Arabidopsis thaliana: one gene and its partners. The protein of the gene in region 3 interacts with the protein of the main gene of each other region in a pairwise test. Each region holds a gene or a part of one and is shown on either strand. Other genes may lie near its edges. The genes, in order: IAA20, GI, TOE2 and PHV.

The links.
Region 1: the proteins of TOE2 (region 3) and IAA20 interact in binary tests that used the Arabidopsis thaliana proteins (3 or more experiments, as listed by UniProt).
Region 2: the proteins of TOE2 (region 3) and GI interact in binary tests that used the Arabidopsis thaliana proteins (3 or more experiments, as listed by UniProt).
Region 4: the proteins of TOE2 (region 3) and PHV interact in binary tests that used the Arabidopsis thaliana proteins (3 or more experiments, as listed by UniProt).

The regions. Positions count from the first base shown.
Region 1 is NC_003071.7:19,304,386-19,309,571, forward strand, and holds IAA20 (indole-3-acetic acid inducible 20), read left to right. Parts: upstream 1-3,328; 5' UTR 3,329-3,475; coding exon 3,476-3,848; intron 3,849-4,218; coding exon 4,219-4,315; coding exon of another isoform or gene 4,316-4,319; exon of another isoform or gene 4,320-4,426; coding exon 4,427-4,484; 3' UTR 4,485-4,686; downstream 4,687-5,186. Other genes in the region: AT2G46995 (uncharacterized protein), read right to left, coding at 5,083-5,186.
Region 2 is NC_003070.9:8,059,433-8,068,693, forward strand, and holds GI (gigantea protein (GI)), read left to right. Parts: upstream 1-2,318; 5' UTR 2,319-2,549; intron 2,550-2,758; 5' UTR 2,759-2,965; coding exon 2,966-3,130; intron 3,131-3,210; coding exon 3,211-3,265; intron 3,266-3,343; coding exon 3,344-3,486; intron 3,487-3,570; coding exon 3,571-3,842; intron 3,843-3,988; coding exon 3,989-4,044; intron 4,045-4,213; coding exon 4,214-4,451; intron 4,452-4,577; coding exon 4,578-4,728; intron 4,729-4,854; coding exon 4,855-5,064; intron 5,065-5,164; coding exon 5,165-6,697; intron 6,698-6,809; coding exon 6,810-6,878; intron 6,879-7,179; coding exon 7,180-7,398; intron 7,399-7,490; coding exon 7,491-7,583; intron 7,584-7,697; coding exon 7,698-8,015; 3' UTR 8,016-8,358; downstream 8,359-9,261. Other genes in the region: PFL (Ribosomal protein S13/S18 family), read left to right, coding at 8,558-8,560, 8,745-8,905, 9,171-9,261. UniProt on the Arabidopsis thaliana protein: Involved in regulation of circadian rhythm and photoperiodic flowering. May play a role in maintenance of circadian amplitude and period length. Is involved in phytochrome B signaling. Stabilizes ADO3 and the circadian photoreceptor ADO1/ZTL.
Region 3 is NC_003076.8:24,205,038-24,213,046, reverse strand, and holds TOE2 (target of early activation tagged (EAT) 2), read right to left. Parts: upstream 5,359-8,009; 5' UTR 4,895-5,358; coding exon 4,362-4,894; intron 4,225-4,361; coding exon 4,199-4,224; intron 4,110-4,198; coding exon 4,079-4,109; intron 3,974-4,078; coding exon 3,886-3,973; intron 3,813-3,885; coding exon 3,667-3,812; intron 3,294-3,666; coding exon 3,205-3,293; intron 3,077-3,204; coding exon 2,886-3,076; coding exon of another isoform or gene 2,763-2,885; exon of another isoform or gene 2,752-2,762; coding exon 2,638-2,751; intron 2,469-2,637; exon of another isoform or gene 2,286-2,468; coding exon 1,980-2,285; 3' UTR 1,953-1,979; exon of another isoform or gene 1,586-1,952; 3' UTR 1,304-1,585; downstream 1-1,303. Other genes in the region: AT5G60130 (AP2/B3-like transcriptional factor family protein), read left to right, coding at 21-91, 193-831, 916-1,176.
Region 4 is NC_003070.9:10,794,966-10,803,771, forward strand, and holds PHV (Homeobox-leucine zipper family protein / lipid-binding START domain-containing protein), read right to left. Parts: upstream 6,129-8,806; 5' UTR 5,780-6,128; coding exon 5,559-5,779; intron 5,048-5,558; coding exon 4,888-5,047; intron 4,758-4,887; coding exon 4,642-4,757; intron 4,561-4,641; coding exon 4,470-4,560; intron 4,375-4,469; coding exon 4,279-4,374; intron 4,193-4,278; coding exon 4,079-4,192; intron 4,003-4,078; coding exon 3,919-4,002; intron 3,841-3,918; coding exon 3,685-3,840; intron 3,599-3,684; coding exon 3,524-3,598; intron 3,450-3,523; coding exon 3,343-3,449; intron 3,271-3,342; coding exon 3,081-3,270; intron 2,989-3,080; coding exon 2,800-2,988; intron 2,717-2,799; coding exon 2,636-2,716; intron 2,550-2,635; coding exon 2,409-2,549; intron 2,321-2,408; coding exon 2,031-2,320; intron 1,933-2,030; coding exon 1,815-1,932; intron 1,732-1,814; coding exon 1,582-1,731; intron 1,510-1,581; coding exon 1,363-1,509; 3' UTR 1,159-1,362; downstream 1-1,158. UniProt on the Arabidopsis thaliana protein: Probable transcription factor involved in the determination of adaxial-abaxial polarity in ovule primordium. Specifies adaxial leaf fates. Binds to the DNA sequence 5'-GTAAT[GC]ATTAC-3'.

The DNA of each region.
Region 1 (5,186 bases), on a different chromosome or scaffold from region 3:
TGCATATGTCAAGTTTCCGTTAAACTTTGACGGGTCAGGCTAGAGCCATCCAAGTCCAACTATCCCGGTGACTAGCGTTTATATATATGCTACATAACCAGGCCCGGCCCAAGTGGGTAGTGCCTGGGCCTAAGGCCGGACTGTACATAACTGATCATTAATTTGAGTTCTATTTAACAAACATTCTATTGTTATTCCATGTTTTATTTATGATCCATACTCGTAAAATAATTCACTTATTTATTATATAGTTTATATATATATATATATATATATCAACATCGTATTTAATAGTTCACAAACATACATAATTTGTAGAGGATAAATTTACAAAAAAAATGATAGGGAAAAAAAAACACTCGATTAAGTGTCATAATGTGAGGAACGAGATTACGTCATACAGAATCCACAGGGACAAAATGTCACACTACCAGTGTATTTGCTTTGTAAGAAATTTAAAATCAATTCAAGATTTGGTAAATCTATATACAATTCATGAATTGCGTGCGTAATCTTAACATTTTTAAGGATTTAGAAGAACCAATAATATATAGTATCTATAAAAAGACACGCACGTAACATCTCGACTCAATACCTACACGCACGCATGCAAGTATCTTTTACTTTATGGAGGCTATTGTTTATCTATCTATATAAACGTATTAAGCTTCTGCATCCTAACCATGGAAGACCTCCACTTGATTGCCCTCGGGGGCTACTCTTCCATTCAAATTATATTACATATTTTAACACTTTTTGCTTCCATTAAATTACTTTCTTTAATATTAGCAGTTTACCTTAGAGATGAAAGTAACCAAACTTTATGTAAGGAATACAAATACAACTTTAGATAATATAAAAAAAAATTATTAAAGGATAAAAAAATATTAAAAAAATATCATGCATGCAAATTCTAAATCAAAATTGATTGCAAGAAAAAAAAAATACATATATAGGCACTCCATTCATTTAATCACCAATTACTTTTTGAATAGAAATTCTATGAGTTTTAAATTTTATATACGATATCAACGAAGAAATAATTCGACTTCTTCCAATATCATAAAAGTAACATAAGCAAGTTCAAAATTTAATGCTTCATTAAACCAAAATAAAATAAAAAATGCTTCATGAATATATATATATATATATATATATATTTGAAATTATTTGGTAGGGGAAGTAATGTTTTAAAACTTGTATATTATAACAATGAATACACATGTAATAATGTAAACATACATCCAATCAACAAATGAAAGAAACAATCCGATAATTTCAGTAATGTTAAAGCAAAGGGAGGAAACAAAAGGCTATGATTAGTCCAACAAGAGGGGCTACAGAAAAAGAAAGCCACGAGACATGCAAATGCAATCACGCATCTTAAAAGCAAGCCCAAGTTTTGACTGACAAGCAACCACGACGCAGTAAAGTGGAGTTCTCAAAATTAGCGCATATATAAAGTACTTGAACTATGTGTGTATCTTTCCAATAAAATGCAATTCTATAATGACTGCCAAAATCAGTACTTCATATTATTTTTGAGGAAATATCGTATATGTGTATCTTTTTCTAACAAAAGTTTTTTTATTCAATATAGAAAAAAATGAGTATATTTACAATTTACATATCATAAGATTAAAGTTGCAAAGAAATAAAGAGAAGATGCAAATGAAAATAATGGAAGAAAAGAGGGGACAGAGAGGAGGCGGAGGCAGTAAGAAAATAAGAAAGTGAGGAAATTGTAATTTGTAGTGTTGTTAGGGAACATCTCTCCTTTATCCTTTTTCTCTTGATTTTTTTTTTGTTTCTTCAATATTTCTCTAAAACTCAATTGGTTCCAACTAATTAGTACATTTTTTCCAAACTGAAATATCGAAACCTGAATTAAGCGAGGGAACCAAGCCGGTTTCAACTCTAGTGCGTATATGTCTCTAATTGCTTACATGGTTCAATCCAAACCAAGCTACACTATGCTTGCACGTTGTGTTATTTTGTGAAGGATGAAATTATAATAACGAAGTTTGATGAATTGAAATGAAATTAGTTTCGTCACGAAGCACACATCCATTAAAATTTGATTCTTATATTATATTTTCAATGAAATTATATAATTTTACCATAAGGCACGCATCCATTGTACAATGTACATGTTGTGGTTGAGGGAGTCCACGTGGAAACAAAAATGCCACGTGGGTAATGACAAGAAATATAGTCGTTGGTCGTTGTGTCGTGAGTGTGTGTGTTTCCTTTTTCTCGTGCTTGCAAATATGAGAAATGTGACGTCTCCTTAAGTTCCATAGACAAAGGAACTCTCATTAGGTCCTCTCTTTAAGGTGAACCATTCATTACTCATGCCCCCTCTCTTCCTTCGCTTTTTTTTTTCTTTTCAATTTTCAAATTTTCTCTATTTATTTAGTTATTATTACGTCTAACAACTTCTCTTTCGCAAATATATTACGTATGATTTACATCATTATATAGGCACTTTTTACCGGTTTGGAATAGTCCGTTTTAGACCGATTATGGCAGCGCTGATACAACTTGTTTAGTAGTTGACTAATTTTTTTTTATGTCTAAGCTTCGAATAAACGTAATTGTAAAGAAACAAAAATGAGATTTATCTTCTTTTTACATGAAATAAAATCGGTCTAAGACTTACTTATTGGGGGTTTTGATTATTCAAATCATCTGGTGGAACTAAATCGCATTGTTTTATGGTTAATAATGACTTGGACTTGAATCATCGTAGGCTCAAACATTTGTCATGCTTGCATACATATGATGGGTCCACAACTCCACATCGTAACTTTCGTCATAACTTTTGTTAAACAGAAGTAAAGAACTATACCTAATTAACTTAAGAAAGAAGTGTTAATCCGATTACTAAGCAAGCATTTACCCAAACACTTTCCGAAAATAATTTGTTTGATTAAAGTGTTAATTGTATCGAGGTCATATGAAAACACATTAATTTTGGAAATGTGGGAAGTAATGTAGTTCCACAAACGCCTCAATGCGCGTCACGATAACCTTTCATGCATTGAACACGATTAAGAAGATGTAATTTCTCAATATTAACTTTAATACTACTTCATATCATCAAAACAGCTAAATGTATATATTTATTTTTTGGGGTTAGATATCAAACATTAACTAGCGAGAAACCGAACCCACAAAATCATAACCAACACTTTGATCGAATCATCGTTTGACACGTGTTTTGGTCTGCTACACTAACAACATTTTTAGCGGACGCTGTCTCATCATTCCACCGTCGCTTTTTATTTGTGTGAACTTTGAACAAAAATACGAATTAAGACCATATCAAATTTAAAATAAAATAAAAACAAGTCCTAGTTTTATCTTCTATATAAACACACACGTACAAACCAAGCATGGCGGCTCATTACTCATTTGTCTTAACCTAAAATTATTATAAAAAGGATAGAGAGAGAGAGAGAGAGCTAGAGATATGGGAAGAGGGAGAAGTTCATCGTCTTCTTCAATAGAGAGTAGCAGCAAGAGCAACCCATTCGGTGCTTCGTCAAGTACTCGAAACCTAAGCACGGACCTGAGACTCGGACTCAGCTTCGGGACATCCTCAGGGACTCAATATTTCAACGGTGGCTATGGGTACTCCGTTGCAGCTCCGGCGGTAGAGGATGCGGAATATGTGGCGGCTGTGGAGGAGGAAGAAGAGAATGAGTGTAACAGTGTAGGGAGCTTTTACGTGAAAGTGAACATGGAAGGAGTTCCAATTGGAAGAAAGATCGATCTAATGTCTCTTAATGGCTACCGCGACTTGATCAGAACCCTTGATTTCATGTTCAACGCATCCATTCTCTGTAAGTTTCTATGTATACATAATGTCATATCAGAATGATTTATATGTCTTAGAGGTAGCAAATTTCTAACGATATTTTTTTCTTTCTTATAAGTCCGTTTTGATTTTTTTTTTTTTTTTACGGAATGAAAAAATACTTCCGCTCATTACTATTCTTTTGTTTGAAGGTTAATATCGCCGTAATAATCGCCCATCACTATTTCATAGGTTGTTTGTTTGTTTGTCAAAAAAAAAATCTGGATAACGTTATATGTCAGAGTTATTATTCCGTAGGTAGAGTTTATATATTGCGCAGTGTGTAAGTACTGTGTAATGGGTAAATTGTAAAAATGATGAAAACTGATGGGAATTGAAAAAATGGAAATATATAGGGGCTGAAGAAGAAGACATGTGCAATGAGAAGAGTCACGTGCTAACGTACGCAGATAAGGAAGGTGACTGGATGATGGTTGGAGATGTTCCTTGGGAGTAAGCACTCTTTTCATCCTTTTTTGTATAATTAGATTGTTAATTATGCAGAAAATTAACTATATGATCATCCTTATATATATTTTTAATTTGTGGGTTGATTTTTTGCAGGATGTTCTTGTCTACTGTGAGAAGACTGAAGATTTCAAGAGCTAATTACCACTACTGATATATAAGTCTACGTACTTGTTGTGTTTAAATCGAAGTAATGCCAAGAAAAAAGTTTTTGCCTGATGTAAATCAATGGTCGGATATTTATAATATTATTTTCATTTTTCTTTTGTGATAGATAGTACATAAATCTTGAACTCACTCTGATTATTCTCGGTAGTACACAAAAAAATAGTAAAAAAAGGAAAAAACAATTATCCGATCGACAATCATGTTTCAGTGCATTAAACCAGTCAGACCATTGGTCATTGGATATTTGAATTTATATAATTAGTTGAATGCTTTTATAAATAAAATTATAGGATGTACTTTCTTTTGTTTGTCAAATAGGATGTAGTCCAGTTTCAGAAAATACTAGTAGTCAAGAAAACCAAGCGACAAATTAATGTCGAGAGACAACTTCTAAATTTTCGAAGAATTTTTGGATTTGATTATCGATTTGACCACAATGTACATTTGATATATACAAGGAAGGAGGCAGGGGAAACAACAAATTCCCACCTGATATTTCCTACTTTGTGTTTTGGAAATAAATGGGCCTTCTCCTTTGATTAAGCCCAAGTTCGATCCCATCTATAAATAATGCAACTTAAAACTCACAAAAGTATTCGGCTTACGCAAAATATAGGGTTTCTGTTTATTCCAATCATAGCTTCCGGATCAAGCAAAACAGAGACCGAGACGGAGCAAATCGCTTCTA
Region 2 (9,261 bases), on a different chromosome or scaffold from region 3:
TGACCATACATTAGCACACAAGAAGACTAACAAAAAAAATGAGTGAATAAAGAAGAGAGTGAGTGGGGTTGATACATGTCACCGTCCAAAATGTGTCTGACCCTTCTCATTGGAGCTACAAGAGCCGACCCTTTGCCTCATCATTTGTTGACTTCACTCTCCTTTTACATATTTAAATTATAACTTGCTCATATTTCCATTCATTGTGTTCGGTTCTAGATTGTTCCATCCACTTTCTTTTTTCTCTTACTTTGAAATTTAGAAATATATGAATACTTGACAAATATTTGAATATTGTAACTGATTTGTTTGTTCGTAATACTTGACAAACTTTTTTGAATATACACCTTTACATATATTTTGAGTTGAGATAAAAAGGGAATTATGTTAGTTTATGGATTATATTATGTAAATACCACATCTAACTATGATCGGATGAAAACTAAACCAGCATATCTCTAATCAGTAATATTTACTAAATTTATATATCATTAAAGATTTTTTGAATTTAGCAAAAAAAGAAGAAGATATCATTAAAGATTTTTAAATTTAAAGTATAACATAATGAATAAATCAAGTGTTGAGCTTAGTTTCGCGTTGCAAAGATGTTCATTTGATTTTTTTTTTTTTTTTTCCATTTGATTTTTCTTATACTAAATTGATTGATGTCACGGTCCTTCTGTGAAAAAAGTATATTGTACTGTATAAATTTATAATAGTCATACTTGAAGATAACTAATATCATTTTCTAAAGGTTTTGTTGACAATGAAATGGGTAATGATGAACATCTCGTTTGCTAAACCACAAAAGAAATAATTCGTTGGACTATAACTTAAACTTATAATATATCAACTGAAATGCCTACAATTTGAGAATACGCCTTTTCAAAAAGTTTTAGAATTTTATAAAAATTTCTCCACCATAATATTACTTTAATAAAAGCTTGTTATTAAAATGATATATTAACAAAAAAAAAAGAGGTAGGCAAAGTAGCTTTTATTAAAATTAATGTTTTCCCTAATTGGTAAATCATAAACCAAAAAATTGAGGTAATTCTTAATATATTTACTATGATTAGAATGATACATTAATGTAACATTTTATCATCTTCATTAATAATAGTAAGTTCTCCTCAAAATTACAATTTGATATCAAAAAATATATTTGTATTACAAGCAATTACTGAAAAATTAAAATTACAATTTAGCCCAGTTACATAACTCCACGTAAGGTTTGAGCCCATCACATCACATGGTACATGACCAAAGCCCAGTTATGTTACCATGGAGTATTCTTCAGACAAGAGCCATCCAGACAGAAGTGGACCACACAATCACGAATCGTATGGAGATCATTACAATATATTGCTCACATCTTATTGCGCCACGTCTCTTATTTGGCGAGTGATCAACGTCCACAGATCTCTTGCTCCACTCTGATTGGTACACGTCATCATTTTATTGTGCTACTTGTTTATGTGGTACAGTAGAGACAAGTGGTAAGATTTTAAAATATCTTAAAAGATGTGTGAGGCCCATTTAGATATTTTCTCAACGGGCTGTTCCTCAAAAGCTGCCCGTTTATCTACAACCATCGAACGGCTCGAAACTATTCTGGGCTAGCTGCCCGAAATCTCTTAAAGGAATTTGTTGAGTGGGCTTGAATCAACGGTGGATAATTCGAAGGTGTACGTAACATCTCGTAGCATCTGAACTTAGCTCCCCTCAAAATATCTGTGGACATATGTCACTAGCTTTTTTTTTGTGTAATGAAACTATTAATTAATTAGGCAATCACATGAGAGATGTTATATACTTAAATTAATAACTCAATAATACAATCATGACCACCAAACCTTGAAATAAAATAATCTCTCTGATTACTTGTACAAATTCTTTACCAATATATGCCATACTGTGAATGTAATGGTTTATTTTAAAACAGCCAAATATTATTGATATAATTATATGTTTAAGTAGATTTTAAACTTAGCTCATGGTTAAAAATAGACAGAATTTTGGAGTAAATCTGAGTTTACAAAATTTATTTATTAGGATTAAAATTAATTACTTAAATTGGCAAACATTTTTCTTGGTGATTGTAACATACAATATACGAATTTGAATTCGCATTGTGATTCCAAAACAACACTAACATAAACTACCAGTAAAATTTTTTAAAATAAAATTTCATATATATATGCTTAAAAAATGTAACAAAAATATGGTAAATTTTTTAACCATGGTATGGGTGGAGATGTATGTGGGATGATGATGGTTATATGGTAATGGCGCATAAAGGTGGTGGCAAAGGCAAGGAAATATCGATGACACGTAAGCAGACGGGAAATCTTAAACCGAGTGGAGAAGCCTCCAAATCTCTTTTTTCTCTCTCTCTCTCCTAAGGCCACCACAATCTCTTCTTCTGTGTATGTATTCTTTTTTTCTCCGATATTCGTCGATCTCTCAAAAATATCCTCAAAGCCAAAAAAAAGCAAGAGTAGAGATAACCAACCAACAAACTCATAGGAAGACATATTTACTTTCAGGTCTTTCTTCTACTACCTTTTTCGTGGTTTTTGGTTGATTGATTCTCAGATGAGATTTTTTCCCGAATCATTTGATGTCTTTTTTTTTTAAATAAGTTCTTGGTAAATCACTGTTTCTACTAGCATTTTTTGTTTTCTCAGCTTAGATTTGTTGTTTGATTTGACATCTTATCTGATTGAGATTTTGTTCTTCTGAATTGTTGTTACAGGGTTTAGCTGTTTGATTCAGCTTCGATTTAGTGTACAGTGTGTTGATTAGTATAAAAAGGATTTAAAAGAATCTGGGAGATGTGTATAGTGATTGTTCTTGCTGGCGAATGTTAACACTACGTCGTATTGATTCTCGATTGATAGTAGAAGAAAGGTGTTAGTTAGATTGTTCGTTCATCTAGTTGGGGTTTAGTTTCGGTTCCTGGATGGCTAGTTCATCTTCATCTGAGAGATGGATCGATGGTCTTCAGTTCTCTTCCTTGTTATGGCCTCCGCCACGAGATCCTCAACAACATAAGGATCAAGTCGTTGCTTATGTTGAATATTTTGGTCAATTTACATCAGAGCAATTCCCAGATGACATTGCTGAGGTACTTGATACCTAATGAGTTTAATAAGAGTATTCTCTTAGTAGTGACGTTTTGATTCATGTATAATTTATCTGTATCAGTTGGTCCGGCATCAGTATCCATCAACTGAGAAGCGACTTTTAGACGATGTGCTGGGTATGATCAACATTTATGATCCACACTTCTCTTTTTGTGTGTGAATGTCTATCTGATTTTCGTTTTCTGATGAAACAGCGATGTTTGTCCTTCATCATCCGGAGCATGGTCATGCAGTCATTCTTCCAATCATTTCATGTCTTATTGATGGCTCGTTGGTGTACAGCAAGGAAGCTCATCCGTTTGCCTCTTTCATATCTTTAGTTTGCCCAAGTAGTGAGGTATATAATAGCTGTCTAGTATCATGCTTACTGATTTGGTGTAACCTATACCATTTTGTGCTAACATGTTCACTATCCTAACAGAATGACTATTCGGAGCAATGGGCTTTGGCATGTGGAGAAATCCTTCGCATTTTGACTCATTACAACCGTCCCATTTATAAAACTGAGCAGCAAAATGGAGATACAGAGAGAAATTGTCTGAGCAAAGCTACAACTAGTGGTTCTCCGACTTCAGAGCCTAAGGCTGGATCACCAACACAGCATGAAAGGAAACCTTTAAGGCCTTTGTCTCCATGGATCAGTGATATACTACTTGCTGCTCCTCTTGGTATAAGAAGTGACTATTTCCGATGGTAAGTAGACTCTGTTACTGATGCTTCTATGTGTTCATGCGCCGGCCTCCTTCTTTTATTTTGGTCTCTCTGCTGAGGTCTATGTATTGAGGTTCTGTAGTGGATTAAGCTTACTGACAACTAAAAATGTTGCTTATTATTTACAGGTGTAGTGGTGTAATGGGTAAATATGCTGCTGGAGAGCTCAAGCCGCCAACCATTGGTGAGTTCAAGAATTCCATGTTAATATCCCCTGGAACTGGATTTTGATGATAATTCTGATCAATAGAGTTGTTCTATCACTTCGTTCATAAATGTGTATCCATCACCTGTGGCTATAGAATGTGTTTTGAGTTGCTTCCTATAACTTTCATGTTGTCCTACTTTGGCAGCTTCTCGAGGATCTGGTAAACATCCTCAACTGATGCCTTCAACCCCAAGATGGGCTGTTGCTAATGGAGCTGGTGTCATACTGAGTGTTTGTGATGATGAAGTTGCTCGATATGAGACTGCTACGCTGACAGCGGTCGCTGTCCCTGCACTTCTTCTTCCTCCGCCAACGACATCCTTAGATGAGCATCTAGTTGCTGGCCTTCCAGCTCTTGAACCATATGCACGTTTGTTTCATAGGTATTGTTTCTGGGCTTACCCTTTCAATTAGGGTTTATTGGTAGTAGTCTGTTGCTAGTTTTAAGGTTGTGCTTCCTCGAATCCCTAGATCAGAATTGTTTTCTCACTTTCCTGTTATACTGTCAGATACTATGCCATTGCAACTCCAAGTGCTACGCAGAGACTTCTTCTTGGACTCTTAGAAGCACCACCGTCGTGGGCTCCAGATGCACTTGATGCTGCTGTACAGCTTGTGGAACTCCTTCGAGCTGCTGAAGATTATGCATCTGGTGTAAGGGTAAGCGTAATATGAATCTCTTAATTACCCTCCAGAAAGCTAATTGTGTCCCTTGTTATAAAAAAAGTCAGCTTTGGTATGTCATCAAAGAAATCAGCTTTGATCACATTCTTTTTCTTGGTGCAGCTACCCAGGAACTGGATGCATTTGCACTTCTTGCGGGCTATAGGAATTGCTATGTCTATGAGGGCAGGTGTTGCTGCTGATGCTGCAGCCGCTTTGCTTTTCCGCATACTCTCACAGCCGGCACTGCTTTTTCCTCCGCTAAGTCAAGTTGAGGGAGTAGAAATTCAGCACGCGCCTATTGGTGGCTACAGTTCAAATTACAGAAAACAGGCATGGTTCCTCTTTATATTTTTCTGCTATTCCATCTCTGATATGCGATTGGCATTCTACTAGAAAATTATATTGAAACTGACTCATTTCATCTCAACAGATAGAAGTTCCTGCAGCAGAAGCAACCATTGAAGCCACTGCCCAAGGAATTGCCTCAATGCTTTGTGCTCATGGTCCTGAAGTTGAGTGGAGAATTTGCACTATATGGGAAGCTGCTTATGGTTTGATCCCTTTAAATTCTTCGGCGGTTGATCTTCCCGAAATCATAGTTGCTACCCCACTGCAACCTCCTATCTTGTCATGGAATTTATACATTCCACTCCTCAAAGTACTTGAATATCTTCCACGGGGGAGTCCTTCGGAAGCATGCTTGATGAAAATATTTGTTGCCACTGTGGAAACAATACTCAGTAGAACTTTTCCGCCTGAATCTTCCAGGGAACTAACCAGAAAAGCTAGATCGAGTTTTACCACAAGATCAGCGACCAAAAATCTTGCTATGTCTGAGCTTCGTGCTATGGTCCATGCTCTCTTTTTAGAATCATGCGCTGGTGTGGAATTAGCTTCACGCCTACTTTTTGTTGTGTTGACTGTATGTGTTAGCCATGAAGCACAGTCTAGTGGTAGCAAGAGACCGAGAAGTGAATATGCTAGTACTACTGAAAATATTGAGGCGAATCAACCTGTATCTAACAATCAAACTGCTAACCGTAAAAGTAGGAATGTCAAGGGACAGGGACCTGTGGCAGCATTTGATTCATACGTTCTTGCTGCTGTTTGTGCTCTTGCCTGTGAGGTTCAGCTGTATCCTATGATCTCTGGTGGGGGGAACTTTTCCAATTCTGCCGTGGCTGGAACTATTACAAAGCCTGTAAAGATAAATGGGTCATCTAAAGAGTATGGAGCTGGGATTGACTCGGCAATTAGTCATACGCGCCGAATTTTGGCAATCCTAGAGGCACTCTTTTCATTAAAACCATCTTCTGTGGGGACTCCATGGAGTTACAGTTCTAGTGAGATAGTTGCTGCGGCCATGGTTGCAGCTCATATTTCCGAACTGTTCAGACGTTCAAAGGCCTTGACGCATGCATTGTCTGGGTTGATGAGATGTAAGTGGGATAAGGAAATTCATAAAAGAGCATCATCATTATATAACCTCATAGATGTTCACAGCAAAGTTGTTGCCTCCATTGTTGACAAAGCTGAACCCTTGGAAGCCTACCTTAAGAATACACCGGTTCAGAAGGATTCTGTGACCTGTTTAAACTGGAAACAAGAGAACACATGTGCAAGCACCACATGCTTTGATACAGCGGTGACATCCGCCTCAAGGACTGAAATGAATCCAAGAGGAAACCATAAGTATGCTAGACATTCAGATGAAGGCTCAGGGAGACCCTCAGAGAAGGGTATCAAAGATTTCCTCTTGGATGCTTCTGATCTTGCGAATTTCCTCACAGCTGATAGACTCGCAGGGTTCTATTGTGGTACACAAAAGCTTTTGAGGTCAGTGCTTGCAGAGAAACCGGAGCTGTCTTTCTCCGTTGTTTCACTGTTATGGCACAAACTGATTGCTGCTCCTGAAATCCAGCCCACCGCAGAAAGCACCTCTGCGCAACAAGGATGGAGACAGGTAAACCTCAGCACTTCTATTTCCCAGCTCGCTTACAGTTTCCTTGGTAGTTCTTTACTAATCCAATTAAGTCGCTCGACTTCATACACTGATCATATTTTTTATATATCAGGTTGTTGATGCGCTATGCAATGTCGTATCTGCAACGCCAGCGAAAGCAGCAGCAGCAGTTGTCCTTCAGGTCCAAATTACTCTTTGACTTTTTATTTCATTTGTCAGGAATGCAACACCTGTGTAAAGATTAAACTGCGGAAAACCTATGGCCTGTGTTAATGTTTTATAATGCTTGGTTCACTCATTTGATCTCTCATGAATTTATAAAAATTAAGCTTGGAATTTATATGCAACACTTGTTTTAATATGCCAAGGATAGGAAATAAGGAAGAAAAAATCTGTGTAAAATAATGGCTTGTTTCAAGCTCATATGTTGAAGGATTTACTCTAATGCTCTATTGTCTGAAATGGTCTTGTGTTATTTACAGGCTGAAAGGGAGTTGCAGCCTTGGATCGCCAAAGATGATGAAGAAGGCCAAAAAATGTGGAAAATCAACCAACGGATAGTCAAAGTGTTGGTGGAACTCATGCGCAATCATGACAGGCCTGAGTCACTGGTGATTCTCGCAAGTGCATCAGATCTTCTTCTGCGGGCAACTGATGGAATGCTTGTTGATGGAGAAGCTTGTACATTACCTCAACTTGAGGTACTGCACTGTTATAGATTGCTCTTCAATGCCCTTCTTCGGGCTAGAGTAATAATCATTTTCTGATTCCACTGTATTTTAAACTTTTGCAGCTACTTGAAGCCACGGCAAGAGCAATACAGCCGGTGCTAGCTTGGGGGCCATCTGGACTAGCAGTGGTCGACGGTTTATCCAATCTATTGAAGGTAAAAGCAGAATCGAACAGAGCCTATGGTTTCCTGCGTCGATTGTAGATGATCAGTAGTAGGTCCAGTTACCAAAGTGCTTAACCTTGTTCACATCTTTTTGCTTCTATGCAGTGTCGTCTACCAGCAACAATACGGTGCCTTTCACACCCAAGTGCACACGTACGTGCCTTAAGCACGTCAGTACTACGTGATATCATGAACCAAAGCTCCATACCCATCAAAGTAACTCCAAAACTGCCAACAACAGAGAAGAACGGAATGAATAGTCCGTCCTATCGATTCTTCAACGCCGCCTCAATAGACTGGAAAGCCGATATCCAAAACTGTTTAAACTGGGAAGCTCACAGCTTGCTCTCCACAACTATGCCTACTCAGTTTCTCGACACTGCGGCTCGGGAACTCGGCTGTACTATATCCTTGTCCCAATAACGAGCACCCACTTTTGTTTTTGGTAAATTTTAGTTCTCTAGACAAAACATTTGGACGTAGACCAAGAAGAATATATATATAGTTTGTTGTATGTAATGTTGTAATGATGAGTGACTGACGCAATCACTCCCACCGGCGTTGGATTTGCTCTCGCTCGGTGTCTTATATAACTCAACCTCTTCTCTGTACATTTTAAATGACGAAGTAGCTCAATCTTTTTTTTTGTGCGTCTGGTGTTTAGTCTTCAGTGGATTCTAAATCGTAATGTATAGAAGTGAAAAATTTACAAATTTACTTATTTCCGAATACTCTTAAAACAGCAAAAATTAATATTGCAAAAGATAATTTATAGTATTTTAATCTTTTTCCTCCAAAAAAAACATTAAAGGGTAAATTAGTAATTAACTACAGGAGCTTCATATTAGGTTGGAAAACCCTAAATATGCCGCTTATAACAGACCTGAGCTTAAGCTGTGGTGGCGCCTCCAGAGTCTGGTAAAAGAGCTTAATCCTCCTCTCGCGATCTTTCTCGGCATCCAAAAATGGTACGATTATCGTTCTTCAACTCTTGTCTGGTTCTCCAATTGCTCGTGCTTCATTTTGCGTATCGCTCGTTTTTCATTGCTGGTTTTGGGATTGGAGTTTTAAGCTCAAATGTTTTTTGTATTCCCTTACACGATTTGCGACTGACGGATCTGTTTTTTTTTTTTCGTATTCGTGTGTGTGTAGTCTCTAGTTGCGAACGAGGAGTTTCAGCATATTCTGCGTGTGCTCAATACTAATGTCGATGGGAAGCAAAAAATTATGTTTGCTTTGACCTCAATCAAGGGTATTGGAAGGCGATTGGCTAACATTGTGTGCAAGAAGGCTGATGTTGACATGAACAAGAGGTTTGTTTCTTAGCTTGGTTCTTAATACTTTCAGTTACTTAGGAATTCTATGGATAAGGATTATGAATCTTGCGAGGTTTTGGATGTTAGTAGAAAATGTAGCTCTTTGACTAGAATTGTACCTGCTCGATCTGGTTTGATTGATTTCTAGGAAATCAGATATTTAGGTTTTCTTTGCACATAGAACTTCTCTAGATTGATATTCTTGAAGAAGTTTGGTCTAGTGTGTGTTTTTAAATGTTTTTTCCTTTGCTGGTATATTCAGGGCTGGAGAACTAAGTGCTGCTGAGATTGATAACCTCATGACAATCGTTGCTAACCCTCGCCAGTTCAAGATCCCAGACTGGTTTCTTAAC
Region 3 (8,009 bases):
CTTTTCTTGCTATCGAACAGGAGTTTCTTTGGATAATTGTGTTCCAAAATTCTTCAAAGTTTACTTACCTGATGAGTCCGGAGATGATATGGTAAAACACTCTTCTCTTCTCTCTGTTTTTTTTGTGGGTTTTTCTGAGATGTTCTTCTGTAGATTTCTATTTGGTTGAAACTTTTAGATTGTATAATGCAGGTACTACCCATTTCTTTCACCAGATTTTTACCAAAGTCTTTGCCTGAAACTGTAACTGTTAGAAGCATTTCTGGAAATATTTGGAAATTGGAGTTAAAGAAATGTTGTGGTGATGATGATACTGAGAAATTCGTTATGGTTAATGGGTGGAAGAGGATTGTGAAGGACGAAGATCTCAAGGGAGGAGATTTCTTAGAGTTTGAGTTTGATGGCTCTAGTTGTTTCCATTTCTGTATCTATGAGCATAGGACAATGTGTAAAAAGATAAGAAGAAGTTCAGATCAAAGCGAGGAGATCAAAGTGGAATCTGATAGTGATGAACAAAATCAGGCCAGTGATGATGTTTTATCTCTTGATGAGGATGATGACGATTCTGATTATAATTGTGGTGAAGACAATGATAGTGATGATTATGCTGATGAAGCTGCTGTCGAGAAAGATGATAATGATGCTGATGATGAAGATGTTGATAATGTTGCTGATGATGTTCCTGTTGAAGATGATGATTATGTTGAGGCTTTTGATTCTAGAGATCATGCTAAGGCTGATGATGATGATGAAGATGAAAGACAGTATCTGGATGATCGTGAGAACCCATCTTTTACTCTGATCCTTAATCCGAAGAAGAAAAGCCAACTGGTAAGTAAAAACTGAATGTGAAAGAGCTTTTCATTTAACATCGTTGGGTTGTGAGTTTTTATGATGTTTTTTTTCATAAAGCAGCTCATCCCAGCTCGGGTTATCAAAGACTATGACTTGCACTTCCCTGAGAGTATCACTCTTGTCGATCCACTTGTGAAAAAATTCGGGACATTGGAGAAGCAGATCAAGATTCAGACAAATGGTAGTGTGTTTGTCAAGGGATTTGGCAGTATCATCAGAAGGAATAAAGTGAAGACAACGGATAAGATGATATTTGAGATCAAGAAGACTGGTGATAATAACCTGGTTCAAACAATCAAGATTCACATTATCAGTGGATGATTATTTATATCTCTCTCTCTCTCTCTCTCTCTCCATCTCTCTGTCTTTAGTTACGTGTTTTGGAGTTAAATCAAGATTATTGTGGTGTATTGAATTAATGTAAGAGTTTTTAATTTCTAAAACTTATCAGATCTATACAAATTTATAGTCTCTCAAGTCTCAATAGCTTTCTTCATTCATACATATAGAATGCATTGTACTTTACGCTGTTCATATTAATATCAGAGACATTATAGTAAAATGGCAAATGGGTTTGGGTTCTGTTTTGGTATTATCCCTCAGTTTATGTTACAAATCAAAAGCAGAAAGATAAATCACACAATGACAATAAGTACAACAGATCTTGGGAGAATTCAGCGTCGTTTTGGCTGGCCTTCCAACTTATTCCAACCTCAGGGCTGTGTAGAACCTGCACGTTCACATACAAAGTATGTTATTACGTGTAGTATTGTAGGATCTTAGGAAAACTATTGCCTCAAATATGTGTTTGAGATTGACAGAGAAGCAGAAAACAGGAGGGTGATAATACTACACAACTTGGAACTCTTCCTTAGTCTTCTTCTATTCGCTAAGCATTCATCATACTTTTCATGTTTCCATCAAGATTCATATGAATACAAACATCTCAAACTCTTTTTCTTTAGTGGTCTTCTATCAAAATTTTTTTTTTTTTTCTTTTGGATTGTAAACGTAACGTATAACAGGAAGAGGAAACTACAGCTTGTGTGCTGAGCCAAACGATGAGTTGAATGTTGTTGTTTCCAAGAAAGTCTTACCTTGAGTTATGCGGAGGAAGGAGGAAGCTATGGTGGTGGTTGTGGGCGGTTCATGAGATTGTGTTGGTGCTGAGATATGTAATCAGATGGGTGGATAACATAGAGACCGGGCTGATTCAGATTGACGAAGGGCTGAGAAGGATGATGAATAGCTGTGGATGAAGGAGGGCGTGTAGCTGAGAGTGAGAATCCTGATGATGCTGCATTTGAAAACAGTGGCGGTGCTGTAGCTGCTACGGCGGTCCCACCACTGGACTGATCATGCCCTTGCCATGTCCTGGCTGGGAAGCTTTGATGAGAACGTAACATAAGCCCTTTCTCTGGTGTTCTTTCCTGGAGACAAGAATTTAACTTTTAGGACAGAAGATTATTCATTCAAATCTTCAAGAATATCACAACATAGAAGAAGAACTAACAAGCAACAACATAGACCTGTTCTCAAAGGATATCAAAGAGTTGAGCTCAAGTACTTAACTGATCAAATATCACAACAGTAACCACTTGATGAACATCTAGCTGAATTTCATATCACACAAATTACTCATAGGTAGGGTAAAGTTCGATAAATTTAAAATTGTCATTCTATTTCATATTGTATGTTAGTTCTGGACAGAAGGTAAAAATTGTGAGGCAGTGACAAACAGTTGGATATAACGAGATGTGTGCTATGGTATTTACTATTTACCATGGGTGAAAAGAACGCAGAAGGAAGGGCATGCCGGTTATTAAGATGGTCTGAACCCCTCTTCAAGAAATTGAAAGGCGTATCACATGCCGCTGCAGCCATGTGGTTCTCCATCTGTGAGTATATCAAATGAAGAGCAAGAAATTCATGAATAAATGAAAAAACATGAGGGCTCGAGCTAGCAAAGGAGACAGTATCTTTGAGTTCCAGATTGCTATGACATATCGACAAAGAAACATTTGACTAACAGTTGCAGCAAAACGCATATGAAAGTAAAGTAAATCATATTTGGTGCACTGAAGAAAAAATTGCACCATGGTGTTCCTTCCACATACGGAATTGTTAGGGACATGGTGAAGCCGGAGGGCCCTATCTTTTTGCTTCGGACCATCTCCTAGTGAAAGAGAGATTCCCAAGTTGAGGTCGAGCTTAACATTAGCTAAATAATAAGATCAGGAAAACAAGTTAGTCGTAGCTTTTCAAATATTGAGCAGAGATATCAATGATGACAGCAAAAGCTGCATAGCATCGACCAGTTTAACAAGCAAGGAACATCAATTACATTACCTGCCTCGGGAATCATTCGGGATGCATGAGGCTCAATTAAGGAAGCAGCTTCCCTTCCCTTCCATTGTACGGCTGCCTTGTCACAACCCCTAATTCCATAAGAATCTGAGCAATTAGTCATGAATTTTCCTAATAGATCAATAATTCAGGATAAAAGACTTCCTCATAATGTAATTTACAACCATCACTAGCGTACAGCTCATACTCAGATGACAATCATCCCAAGATAGATATAAATGTCTCATAGCCATCAAAATCTCTATATATAACTCATAATCACAAACGGGTCTTCCTGCTAATGGTTCTAACAGAAGCCCTTTTCAACTAACGAAAAATTACCAAACTCTTCATCTGAACCACTCCACTCTTTTTAGCAATGACTGACAACCACATTCAGACAAAAACACAAATAACATAGCATTTGTAAAAGCCCATACTTAGATCCCAGGAAAAGTTAATTACATGTTTCCATGAAGCTGCTCCATTTGAGCTCCCCACCCGCCAATCTTTTGCAAAGCAACTCCTTGATATCTAGAATTATTCCTTGAGAAACCAGAGCTCTGTCGCCGAAGTACTTGCACAACTTCCTCTTTGGAAAGATTCGCCATCTGTAAAGTTTGAAAACCAGATAAGAACAAATCAAAGCGTACATGTCTTCATTTGTACATCTGTAATCAAAACCTGCTTGAGATCCTCTTCATAATCGCCAATAACGAAATTGATGTCAGCTTCCAGACCCCGGAATTTGACAGCAGCTCGATCATACGCCCTACACCAACGAAAGTTGAACTTAGGAAACAATTGTATCATAACGAAAAAACAGTTGAGTGATCAATAAGATCAAACAAAAAAATATCATTTCCAAAGGCATTACCTAGCTGCAGCATGGGCAGTATCAAATCCACCTATTGAATTCAAAAGTTAAAGCTTTTATTAGAGAACTAAGATCCCAGCAGAAATCAGTTCACAGTAGTACAGCCATTAGAATCCATACCTAAATAAACTTGTTTACCGCAATCCCTGCAACCATGAAAATTGACAAAAAAGAAACTTGTAGATTAATACAAAATCTAAACCAAGCTCTTCCATTTTCGACCAAAGATCAACAACTCATCTAAGACCTATCTAAAAGATAAATCAATCAGTAGTAGATATACCAGATATGCGATTCCCATCTGCCTGTCCTCCGATAGAAAGTGACGCCTCTATACTGAGAACTCTTAGACCTAGGACCTCTCCTGCTTTTCTTCACCGGCTGTGATGGTGGCTGCATCACCCGTGAAGCATCGCCACCACCGCTCCCGCTACCTATAAAGTCTCCACCTTGTTTCCCCCTCTGGAAGGAAATATCAACGGTGCTCCTTGAACTTTGAGCGCTCGAATCCATAAAGTTCATGCCTTTAGCAACAGGAAAAAACTCCTTAGTCATCATCACAGCACTTCTTTCATCATCATCTTCTTCTTCTTCTTCTCCTCCTCCTTTCAGTATCTCAAATTGAAACTTGACCGTTCGTGTAGAGCACAACTCATCTTCACCATCTATACAGCTAGAAGCTTCAGCATTAACAACAGAAGAGTTCGACGTCACCGATTCATCCATCTGATTCAAAGAAACCCCTTTAACAGTAATCGAATCTCGTTCGTTCTGAGTAGACTCGGTCGAGTCGACGTCGAGATTGAGATCCAGCATCAATCTCAAAAAAGTCAACAAAAAAGCAAACAAAACTCTGAGCTTTCACAACAACAACAAAAACTATTTCTTCAAGCTCTTACTTACACATTGATCAATAAATTCAACGATCGCCGTCGATTTGAAATAAACAGAGCTCATAAATCACATTACATAGGTGAAAATCAGCACGAGTATGGAGAAATCAAACGGAGATTTAGATTCTGAAATCAATCAAAAACACGACGGAGGAGGAGAAGGAATAATAACCAAAGAGAAAGAAGGAAAAAGCTCAATCACTAAGGAGAGAAATGAGATTGAGGAGACATGGAGATGAAGAGTTGAGTATTGGTCTATGGGGATTTGAAGAGACAAAATAGCTATCGCCGGACGAAAGAGATAATCGTCGGCGATTAGAGAAAATAAAAAGAGAACGGGGAATGATGATGGGACGTAAGCCTGTGGGTTAGTGGCAACAAAGGAACATTTTAACATTTATTTATTCCTTCCATCTTTCTCGGCAATTTGATACCGGTTTTGCCTGTTTCCGGTTTGAAGTAAAAACGTGCTACTTGTTTTTGTTTTATTAGCTTGGTTTAAATTTATGATTAGTGCTTTTACAGTTTTACTATGATAAATTTACGGTTTAAACTGTATGTGTTAAGCTTTTCTGTGATTTCTTTACCAAGATAAGTTATTAAATACAGTATTAGTACTAAATAGATCTGTTAAGGCCTAGGGACAATGAGGTGCATTTTGTTCATGGAATGAGGATTTAATGGATGTGTTCATCTTGGTTAAATCAATTTGAAGCGTGTTCTTCGAAACATTTTGTAAACACATCTGAAAATCATCAAATTTAATTGGGGTTTCACTTTTTATCCTTGAACAAACTCAACTAAAGTGATTTAGTAATTCAAATTTATAGAATGAATCAAACGAAATTCGTTTTTGTATCCTATATAGTATATCTTATTATTAATCTGCAAACAAAGATTGGTAAAGAAAAGCGAATCTACACTATTATATTCACAACTTTGAAGACACATAAAAACCAAAAAACACTTTGAAGTCACATATTCATAGCTTTGAAGACAAAGCATTTGTTTTCATTTAATGGCGGGTCCTATATTTGCAGCTACGTCCTCCTCACAAACAAAAATCTGTAAAGACTTAAAAGAGTGAGATAGAATAATATGACTTTTTATTGATTTATATGGATAACAAGTATCCAACCAACGTAACAAATGTGTCACATGTAAAAAAAAATGTGTCACATGTTAGAAAAAGGTGTAGAAGCTAGCTATAATCAACAATTACATGCATAAAGTAACAAAAGTTATATCATTTTAAGAAGTTGTTATTATTACAAAAACGAATGTGTATGGAAAATAGTTAAAGATGATGGGGAAAAAAATCACTAACATCAGGTTTGATAGCTTTAGTTTTTCTTACTGGACATAGTGATGAAATTTTGTTTTAATTTCTAAGGTTTTGACACATTAATTACTATTGAAATTGAATGATGTATGTTATCTTCGCCTTGTTTGTAGCCAAGTTTTAGTAAGGCCTTGAATGAGTGTGGTTTTTAAACTAGTTTTTGGTTTTAATTTTTTCTAAAATCTATTTTGTAGCCATTCAAGATTTTGAGAAAACAAGTTTTCCTAAAATATAGGAAATCTAGTTTTTGAGTGTTTTAACAATTTTTCAAAGAAAACCAAAATCTATGTTTTGGGAGTTTCTCTCTCAAAAACAATCGATCACATTTTTTATTTTATTTTTAGATTTGTTTTGTAAAAAAAATACTATCCATTAACATAAAAACCAAAATCTAAACAAATTACCATTCAAGTTTTTTAAGAAACTAAAATCTACACCAAAAACAAAAACCAAGAAAATCAAAAACTAAAAACCAAAAACCAAAATCCAAAATCCAAAAACCATTTTAAAAACTACAAACATTCATGGCCTAAATAAAAATGAAGCATGTGTTTCCTAGTTCCTACAATATCACATTGTAAAAATCTATCAAGGCTAGAGAAAATTATCTCTGCATCAACTGTGTCTCAATTTTCTTTTAGATTTTCATTGAATGAATAGCTATAAGTAGAAAAAAAACACATATCCGATCAAACGTTGATAACACAAACATATTGTATCAAATCTTATGGTATCTTGTATTCATTAGTATTGTCTAAATCTCTAAGACTACTACATAGCTTGAGAGCAATGTGATACAAAGAGATCAACAAAGAAATGGATAGGTTTCCAAAATGGATAATTTCGAAAGTCTAAAACAAAATATATTTTGAGTACAAGAAGACATAGGAAAGAACAAAAGCCAATAAAGGGGGATTCTTTTACAATCAAAGGAAATTATTGTTTATTAAAAATAGAAATAAAATGTACGTAACAACGTATTATGTTCTTAACACAGGTTACGGGCGAAAAAATGAAAATGACCTAAAAATATCTATTCTTTGTGTCCATACGAATCTCTTTTTTCTTTGGAAATGTTTATTGAGTGGGGTAGGTCAAATGAACATTCCGACTGGTTTTAGCCGGTTGCCAAAACTTAAGAGTGTCAGAAAAATCTCGAAGATCATGGATTTTAACGAGTAGTATAAAGCCACGTGTACAACAGAGATTGAACCCCAGCCATTCAACTACTCTCTCAGCCATCTTAGGTCACATATCTGATCGGACGGCCCATGTCCATTCTTACTTTCCTTAAATTTAGGGAATTTAACAGTTTCACAATTTATCTAGTTTTTTTTTTTCATTTTCATGCCCACATTCCTTTCTTTCAATCTCTTTATCAAGATTTTACCAAGTACAACCTTAATTTTACTTTTGCCTAAATGTCAAAGTGAAAATTAGGTTGTTAGAGTTACATACTTGCACATTAAAGCGTCTATACGGAACGATATTGATACATTAAAGAAGAAAAAAAACAGAGTCTTTATCTAGAATTTAAAATGTCACTGTTTTATATTATTTACCTTTTTTTGTTGTCATTTTCGTAATAAATATTATCAATCATTTCTTTGTGAAATCATAATATATTAATCATATAAGGCAGACGAGGTTGAATTTAAAGACGTGGACGCCTGCTGTCCTATCCTTGCAATGATAA
Region 4 (8,806 bases), on a different chromosome or scaffold from region 3:
TGCAAGTTTGTACATACACAATTCTCTTATCATATGAGAATTTTTTTTGAATATATGGACTGCATTTTTATAAATTCTATAGGGATTAAATGGGTGAGAAATAATGACATCAGCAATGTTGACTAAGGAGGAAGAAGGCAGAATCGGGTAAGGCATTTCCTTACACAAAGCCAGATCTGTCCCAAACAGAATCACTTCTGTCTTTTCACCGTTCTTTTTTTTCACAACACAAAATTCAACTTGTATGTTTTTTTTTTTTTTGCATGAGCCCCCACATTCACATTCATCACGCAGCGGTCAAATCACCCGCCCCACATTTTCATTTATTGATCTGTTTTTCATTATCGTTTTCTAGTTAATTATTCATTCATTAGGTTAAGTAGTTAGTACTAGTGTAGTAGCTAGTTCTGGTTTTCAATAGTTTTTACGGTTTGATTATGGTTGGTGTGTATCATTCATCCGTAAATGGTAAAACCTCGATCGATTTACATAACTCATGTAGACAGCGGATTAAAATAGCTGTCCTTAGACTTAAAAAATTCTGTTATTGGTTATATAAAAATATTCCACCATTTTCTTTAAATTATGCTGAAAAATGATAAAAAGAGATTGTACATAAATAAAACTTCCATATTTTTGGTCGGTATAAAACTTCCATAAGAGTTTTGTAGGTTTCTGTCCAAAAGAAAAGCTATTTATCAACTTCCATTACTAACTAGACTACCCAAAAGAAAAGTTTATAGGTTCCTCCAGCCTAGAAGTCAAAGAACAGCATCATCATGACTAGTTTTCTTGTGATAGATACTATTTCAATTTAATAGATAAATACTAGTAATGATTATTGATCATTTAATGTCAAAGATTCATTCAAATCTAATCTTTTGGATGATTATTATTTATGCATACAACCTAAACTCCGCATACATTTTTCATGTTACATATGAGCTACCAAGTCCATTAAACGTTTTTTGCCAAAAACTATGATGATTAATTTAGTTTATTCGACATGCTTTTGAGGCCAATCTTTGTGTTTATATTTGTACATTAACACATGATAAAAACTTATAAGATTACTAATAATAATTCATCTTATATCTATCTATATATATATATATATATATATATATATATATATATATATATCAAATTTCGTAAAAGGAAGATGAAGAAAAACGAAACAAGTCCAAAACATAAATAAAAATAAATATCTTGCCATACATAATGTCATAATTGATTAAAGAGATTATCATCAGAATTTTTCCATATTACATATAGAGTTATGGACTCTCTAATTCAACAAACCTTAGCCAAAAACAACATCCCCTAACTTTTAATATCTAACATAACCAACCTTTTCCTTCATCAAACAAACGACCAACTAACGAGGGTAAAAGCCAAGCAGTGGTTTGATTCGTTGTCATCAACAACTTTCCACACCGTCGCTTGCTCATACGAAACCGGTCTGCCCATGCTCGACACACATATTCCTGCCGGAAGATTCGCATATCCCTGAAGAAGATTCAATCCAAACTTAGTATTTTCCAGGGAAAGACTTAAAAGACTAGCTAGAAAATGTTTAACCTGCTGCATGATCTTGGCGAACTCGGAGCAAAGAGCTCTACGACCAGAGTCATCAAGTGTTTTGTCGAGCATTATATCCTGAAGTGCCACAAGTGTAGTTTCAAGCATGTCTAAACCAGCTTGGTTTGCAAATGTGAATACCGGTGAGGCCTGAGAACCAAAAAATAATCAGACAATTCCCAAACCGAACCATAAACTAGATTGAGCACCTCTTAAAAAAACAGAATTCTTACATTAGTTTTCAGGGAGCAGCACAATATGGCATCACTATGGTCCCAGAGTTGCTTAAGCAATGTGTCTCCTCCACAGGACTGAGAATCAGCTCCAAACAGATCTGCACCTGTATGAATACTAAAACATCGGAGAAAAACATTTTATTGAGTTATTAAATGAGATAAGCACATTCTATATTGTTACAAGTCTTTAGATTAAGGTTCTAAGAAGAGTACCTGTAACTACGGGTGATCCAACGGACAAGAGTGAGAGCTTCAGGGGAAGTGGGAAGTTGCATTGAGCCAGGACGAGGCGTAATGGCTAGAGCCACTCTCTGAATCGAACCAACAACGTTCCTCACATACTGTCTCGCCATTGTAGCAACATTGTCTCTGGAATGGTTATCAAACGTGAACTGGAAGGCTATTGTTAAGACCAATCTAGAGTTTGTTTCCGAATCGGTTTTGGTGGAACCATCTAGGGACGATGCTAGATCCCGTGTTCGACTTGCAGATTGATGATCATTCTGTAACGTTACATACAGGAATAAAAGAAAAAGGACTGTGTCAATTTCAAGATATCAAATTTCTTATCATAAACAGTTTTCTTTTTACCGGATTTGTTTTTTGGTCGAGTGGTATGACACGGAAACCAGAAGGAAGCAAAGGTGCATCATCAGCAAATGATTCATCGATTGGGGCAAAGACAAGCTGAGCACAACCTCCAACCACATTTTCATCAACGCCGCTACAAAGCTGGACAAAAGCAAAAAAGAAACCAAGAATTCAATTTCAATAACTCATCTTTAAGAATCCCTGAGTGTCTTTAGTATAAAGCAAACCTGCAGTAAATACATATCCCGGGATAAGCCCATGTCTTCAGGTGAGTAAGCATGACCTCCAAGTCTAACCACTTCGAGAAACTGAGAAACAAGTAAGCAAAATAGGATTATAGGCATGGCAAAAGAATAGACAACAAGGAAAATGTTCTTGAGATTCTTTGTACCTCTTCATGTTCGAGTGTCTGTGCGAGAGGAAGAATGACTTGGTTACTCGGGAACCCACCGGTTCTGACGCATGGAACAGCATATGGAGTTGCTCTGAGAGATGCAGCAGAATAGGCATCGACACCATAGTCTGCCCATTCAGCTCGGTGTTCTCTCAGGAACCGAATCAATACAAGGGGTGGAACATTCTTCAAGAGCAGATAAAAAAGAGAATGATGTCAGAAATTGAAGAAACCGGTTCTTTTGTCTATTCACAAGTGTCAAAACATGATATAGGCACCTGCAACAGCATAGAAGCTTTGGCACAGAGGACACCACTTCCAAAACTTGGAAGAAATGAGCTACCGTATTGGGAGCCAGCAAATTTAGCAGAGGAAGAGTTAATCATGATCGTAATATCCTCTCCTCCATCACTACTCATTGGAGACCATCCATCATCGACAAAACCATTTACAGCATCATTGAAACCCCTGAATTTCAAGAAAAGCAATTAGAACAATGCTTTAGAAAATAAAACTAAGCTTATCAAGGAAATGTATTACCGGCAGAGTCTCTGGCTGAAAGTCCTTAAAACTGCAGGCTGGCGTCCACCACTATACTGGACTTCTCCACTAGTCTCTTGAGCAATTTGGCGCACATGTCTCAGAGCCTGAAATGTGGAAGTAAAACTCATAAAGAGAGCCTAATCAGGTCACGGGTGGATAAGGTTTATATGGAACTTACAGCGACAGTCATTTTTTGAGCAAGGATTTTGGAAGACTCATAAAGAGGCCTGAGGACTTCAGGAACACTTGAGACCTACCAAACCAAAAAAACGTATCAATCAACATAAATAGAAGGCTTTTACGAAACCTAATGTGCTATTACAAATCCAATATGCTTACATCCAAGTCCACATGATCAACGATGTGAATAATGGAACCACCACCATCACAAGGACGGATAAGAAACCCGCTTGACAGCATTTTGGCTCTCACGAAGCTTGAAGAAAGTGGACCATTGGGGCCACCAGTTGCAGAAGTGAGTGATCTCTCACAGACCTGAAGGCAAAAAAGCAAATATAAGGCAAATCTAATAAATAGAATCATAGATGAACAAAACCAGGTCCTAATACCCACCACATAGCTTCCATCTTCTAGACTTGTACTATATCTCAGCGTCCAAAAGTCACGAGCTGCTGCTAATGTTGTAGGAGCATAAATCTGATAACCAACCATGAATAATGATCATTACATTTTAAAGGAACAAAAACAACACTCATGGATTTATGAAACAGACCTGAGTGTTGACAAGCTCGATAGTACCACCATTTCCAGTGGGTATAACATTCAGAGTCTCGACACATCGACAGTCACGGAACCAAGATGGACGATCTTTGAGGATTTCAGCGACCTACACAGTATTTGAAGTTTAGATTGCCTTCGTAGAATTTCCGCTTCTTACAACACAAGATTAAAATAAAAAGAAAACACCATTACCTTCATGGGTTCTAAACTCACGAGGCCACAGGCACGTGCTGCTATTCCACTGCAGTTGCGTGAAACAGCTACGATACCAATAGAATCCGGACCAGGCTACATACATAACCATGAAAATACATATTAAAACATTTTCTAAAAACCACTTCATTTCCACATATGAAAACGTTAAAATACTTCAACTTATCTACCTTCATCCCAATCATCTGGACCCAGTCGACAGCAGTTCCTGTAGCCTTGCAAAGGAACTCCGCCAAGGTCTCCTCCGCAATCGAGAGAAGACTACCAAAAAAACACTCCATTTAGTCTCTTCTCATAATGTCACAATGAGAAATTCACAAACAAAAAAAGAGCCTTCCTTACTTAGCTGGGTTGTTAACATCACGCTGAGGATGCTGATGTGTTGGGTTTTGCTGCTGACGTTGCTGACCACTCACGACCACAGACTCACAGCTGTTGTCTGTGGTCGTCCCAGAAGCCTAAGACACAACACAGAGATTTCACCAGTCACTCTCTAACAACAGAGAACTCTTAAAGAACAAATACATATACAAGCATCAAAGATAACAACTCAACAATGCATTTAGCAAAAGGGATTCAAGGACTTACAGTGTGGATTCGATGTTTCATGAATCCATTCTCATAAACCAAGTTGGAGACTTGCTTCTGCAAACGATCATTCTCTTCCATCAAAAGCTTGTTCATAGCACTCAGCTTCCTGTTCACTGTCTGAAGACGAGCTGACTCTTTCCTCTGCTTCTCTCGACATCTAAAAAGTCAACAAAACAACCAAAAGAAACCAGAAAAGTTAAAGACAAACCTATAGCAGTATGATAAATGTGTTGAAATAATAGAAAAATGAACAGAAGAAACACACACTTTTTTGCTTTAGAATGATACCAGAATGACATAAAGAACAAAAGATAATGTAATTTCCAACATATTCTCTGCAGAAGGAAAAAAAGAGAGAGGCGTTTTAAAGCTCATCAAAGACAGTTTGATTAGCTGTCACTTTTCCTTGTGATTTTAACTTTCAACTGTGTCAACAAAAGCCTAATAAGCAAAAAGAGAAAAACAAATTTATAGACATAGATCTGAAAGTTTCAAAAGCTTAACAATCACCAATTAGACCAAAAACAAGAAGATTACCAAAAACATTGTCAGACAAGAACATTTTTGTCTCCAAATACAAACAAAAGAAATTCAATTTTATAATTACAGAAACAATCAAAGAACACAAAAAACATTCCATTAAAGACAATTAATAAAGAAATAATAACCTGCGATTCTGGAACCAAACTTTGATCTGTCGAGGCTCGATGTTACAGAGAATGGGACATTCACGAATAAGCTGTTGTCTTCTCAGAGAGCTAGGTTTAGGACACTCAGCATAAACTCTCTCAAGAGCTTCAACTTGTTCCGGCGTGTATCTAACGTACTTGCCGGAATCAAATCCTTTATCAGGAGAGTCTCTATCGTCCATGGAGTGATGAGCCATCATATCTTCCAAACAGGTCAGTAGAAATCAGAGAGAGAGAGAGGGTTTACAAAAAGAAGAATAAAGATCGATACTTTGAGAGAAGTAAAAGAGACTCAGATGAAGAAATATTAGATGGGTAGGCTCTCTGAGAAGAGAGAGCCTCCTGTGAGAGTGTTCATGAGATGGTAATGGTTGGAGAAAAGAGTTTTTTGGGTTTTTTTCATTTGCTCTCTCTCTCAAAGGAGATTGAAAGATGGAAAGAGGTAAAAGGAGCAAAAGCGAGGCAGCTAAGTAGAGAGAAGAGAGAGAAGAGAGAGAAGAGAGAGGAAAATACTGAAAAAGTAAAAGTAAAGATCTTTCTGAGAGAGAAAGGACAAGGAACAACCCAACAAGATGCACTAAACTGGTAAATATTGTTTTCAAAAAAAATTAAAGGTGAAATTTTTGGGAGAGTAGGTTGAATTCAATGTTTTTGGTTAAAAGCTTTTTACTGTTAAGGCAAAGTAAAAATATTTAAACTTTTTCTTATACAAAGCTAAGCTTGAATTTTAATTCAAAGCTTAAATTCTAAAAGTTAAAATGATTAACTAGGATAAAAGTTTATGTCTTTGATAACTCATTATCAAAGCGGTAGAGTTTGTACAACTTTGACAGTTATCATTTATAAAATCTTTATCAAAAACGTTATAAAAAGTTTTATTCTCAATTTTATTATACAACTTTCTCGTACAACTCTTTTTTATAGTTTGCAACTATTCCGAAAAATTTTACAATTCATCTAAATTACCAGTTGGACCCATATATATTCTTTGGTTGCCACCATATAAATATTATTAGTTAAATAGATAATTATAATATTGATTGAATTAGATTAACAATTCATTTTAAAAGTTTCGTAATATTTGATGCATAGTTATAAGTAAATAATTACTTGTTTTATTATTTTTTCTTACAACTCTTTTAAATAGGTTTAATATGAGATGGAATCTTGATTACACTTCTCTAATTCATATCATTACCACCTAATTTTCTTTGTGTAAACATGTTTCTGTATTCAATATTCTTGGATTAGATTAAAAGGACAAGTAGATGTTGACAATTAAAAAGGATTGAAAGTGATTAGTTTTGAAAAACTTAAATGCATTCAGATTTCAGACTAAGGCTAAACACAAACAGATGAGAAAACCAACACGCAAAGTTGTTGTCTCTGCAAATTTTAAGACATATCAATTATTATCAGAATCCCTAGTCCTAATGGCAATCGATAAGAATAAATATGTTTATCTATTGGTAACAAAAATAAATCATGCTACAACTATTTATATTCGTAAAACGTAAGTGTTGTTGTCAGAAGAAACGGAATTTTGACAAAATGGGGTAATTTGCTAACTTAGGGAAAGAAAGCACTTCTCTTTAAGCTCTGTGACAGTGGCCTACCCAAACATAGCATCAAATTTTCCCTACCCTCTTTGCTCTCTAGTCCTAAGACGTTGTATGTATGTATGTATGTGCATGTACATATTTTCATGATGATGGTGTTGTTGTATGCCTATCTTTTGTATCCATGTGGAAGAGACGATGCATGACAAGTATGTACAATGTCACTATGCGCGTGAGATGCGTGAAATCTGTTGTTTTTTTTGGTTAACCTTAATTGGTTTTATTTCCTTTAACTTGTTTTGAAAGTTTTGAATATAAATTAGGGAATTTAATGAAAAAAACCCTTAACTTTGGCCAGATCCATTTTAAACCCTAAACTATGTTTTTAGTAAAACAAACCCTGAACTAAAACCTGTTAATAAACTTAACTCCACAGTAATTAATTATTAATGGGATATTAATTTCTAAAAAAAAAAACAACGAGACATTTGTATTTAGCGCAAAAACCACATGATGTTCTTTAAAACTATTTTGAATTTATTACAAAAAAACGTTCTAAATGATTTTGAATTGCTTAATTAGTTTGGATTTTAGAAGCTGAAAGAAAGACACAACAACTTAAAATAATCCAAAGAGTCATACTTAAATAAATCCAACCAACATAACTATCGAAGCTGTTGCAACACAACAATATTTGTCACAAAAAAAACAATCGTTTCAGAGGGACAAGATATTCTAAAGTAAAGACTTGTCAAGCATTAACTTTGAAGAGAAGATTGTATTGGCTGAGTGATAGGGTTCTCTTCATCCATTGTTTTCTGTTTTTTCCTTGGTCGTCTTTGAGGTTTCTTGGGTGGTTTTGGCACTGCTTTACGCTTGCATGAACGTTTGTTGTGTCCGACTTGTTGATAGTTGCTACAAGTCTAAATATGCAAAGATTAAATTAAATAATTTGAAAAGGAAGATCTTGTGAAACATAATTCATTGTTTTCTATTTTACCATTTGAACTTTTTCACGTGTATAAAGAACTTTTTGAGGTGGACGATCTTCAGTTGGATCACGGATTCTGTCATTGTTCTTTGGTCGATTTTTGGAAATTAATATCCCATTAATATTTAATTACTGTGGGGTTAAGTTTATTAACAGGTTTTAGTTCAGGGTTTGTTTTACTAAAAATATAGTTCAGGGTTTAAAAATGGATCTGGCCAAAGTTGAGGGTTTTTTTTATTAAATTCCCTATAAATTATGAGAAAACAAAGACAGGTCTGCCTTTGCTGGGGGTACAACCTGTATTTTTGGTTGGTTACGATTTTTCAATTGGTTTGTATCCATTTGTCCAAACATTGTTTCTTTTCTATTCTTTTTTGGTTTTCTTATAACTTTCTATGATTTTTGGACAGAAATAAATATATAAATTAATATATTTATTTCTTATGTGAAGTATATATATACGCAAAATACAAGATTGATCATCACCTACTATGAAGGATTTCGATCTAACGGCACTTTTTACCTAGATAGCTAATTTGATATTTGAAGTAGAGAACAATGGAGAGATTCTCATCGAAATACCATACAAGTAGAAGCTCTTAATTATGAGGATCATGTTGCACATTCAAGTAATATTTCTCTGCACAATTGTCTGTAAATAGGAGAGCTATTTCGTA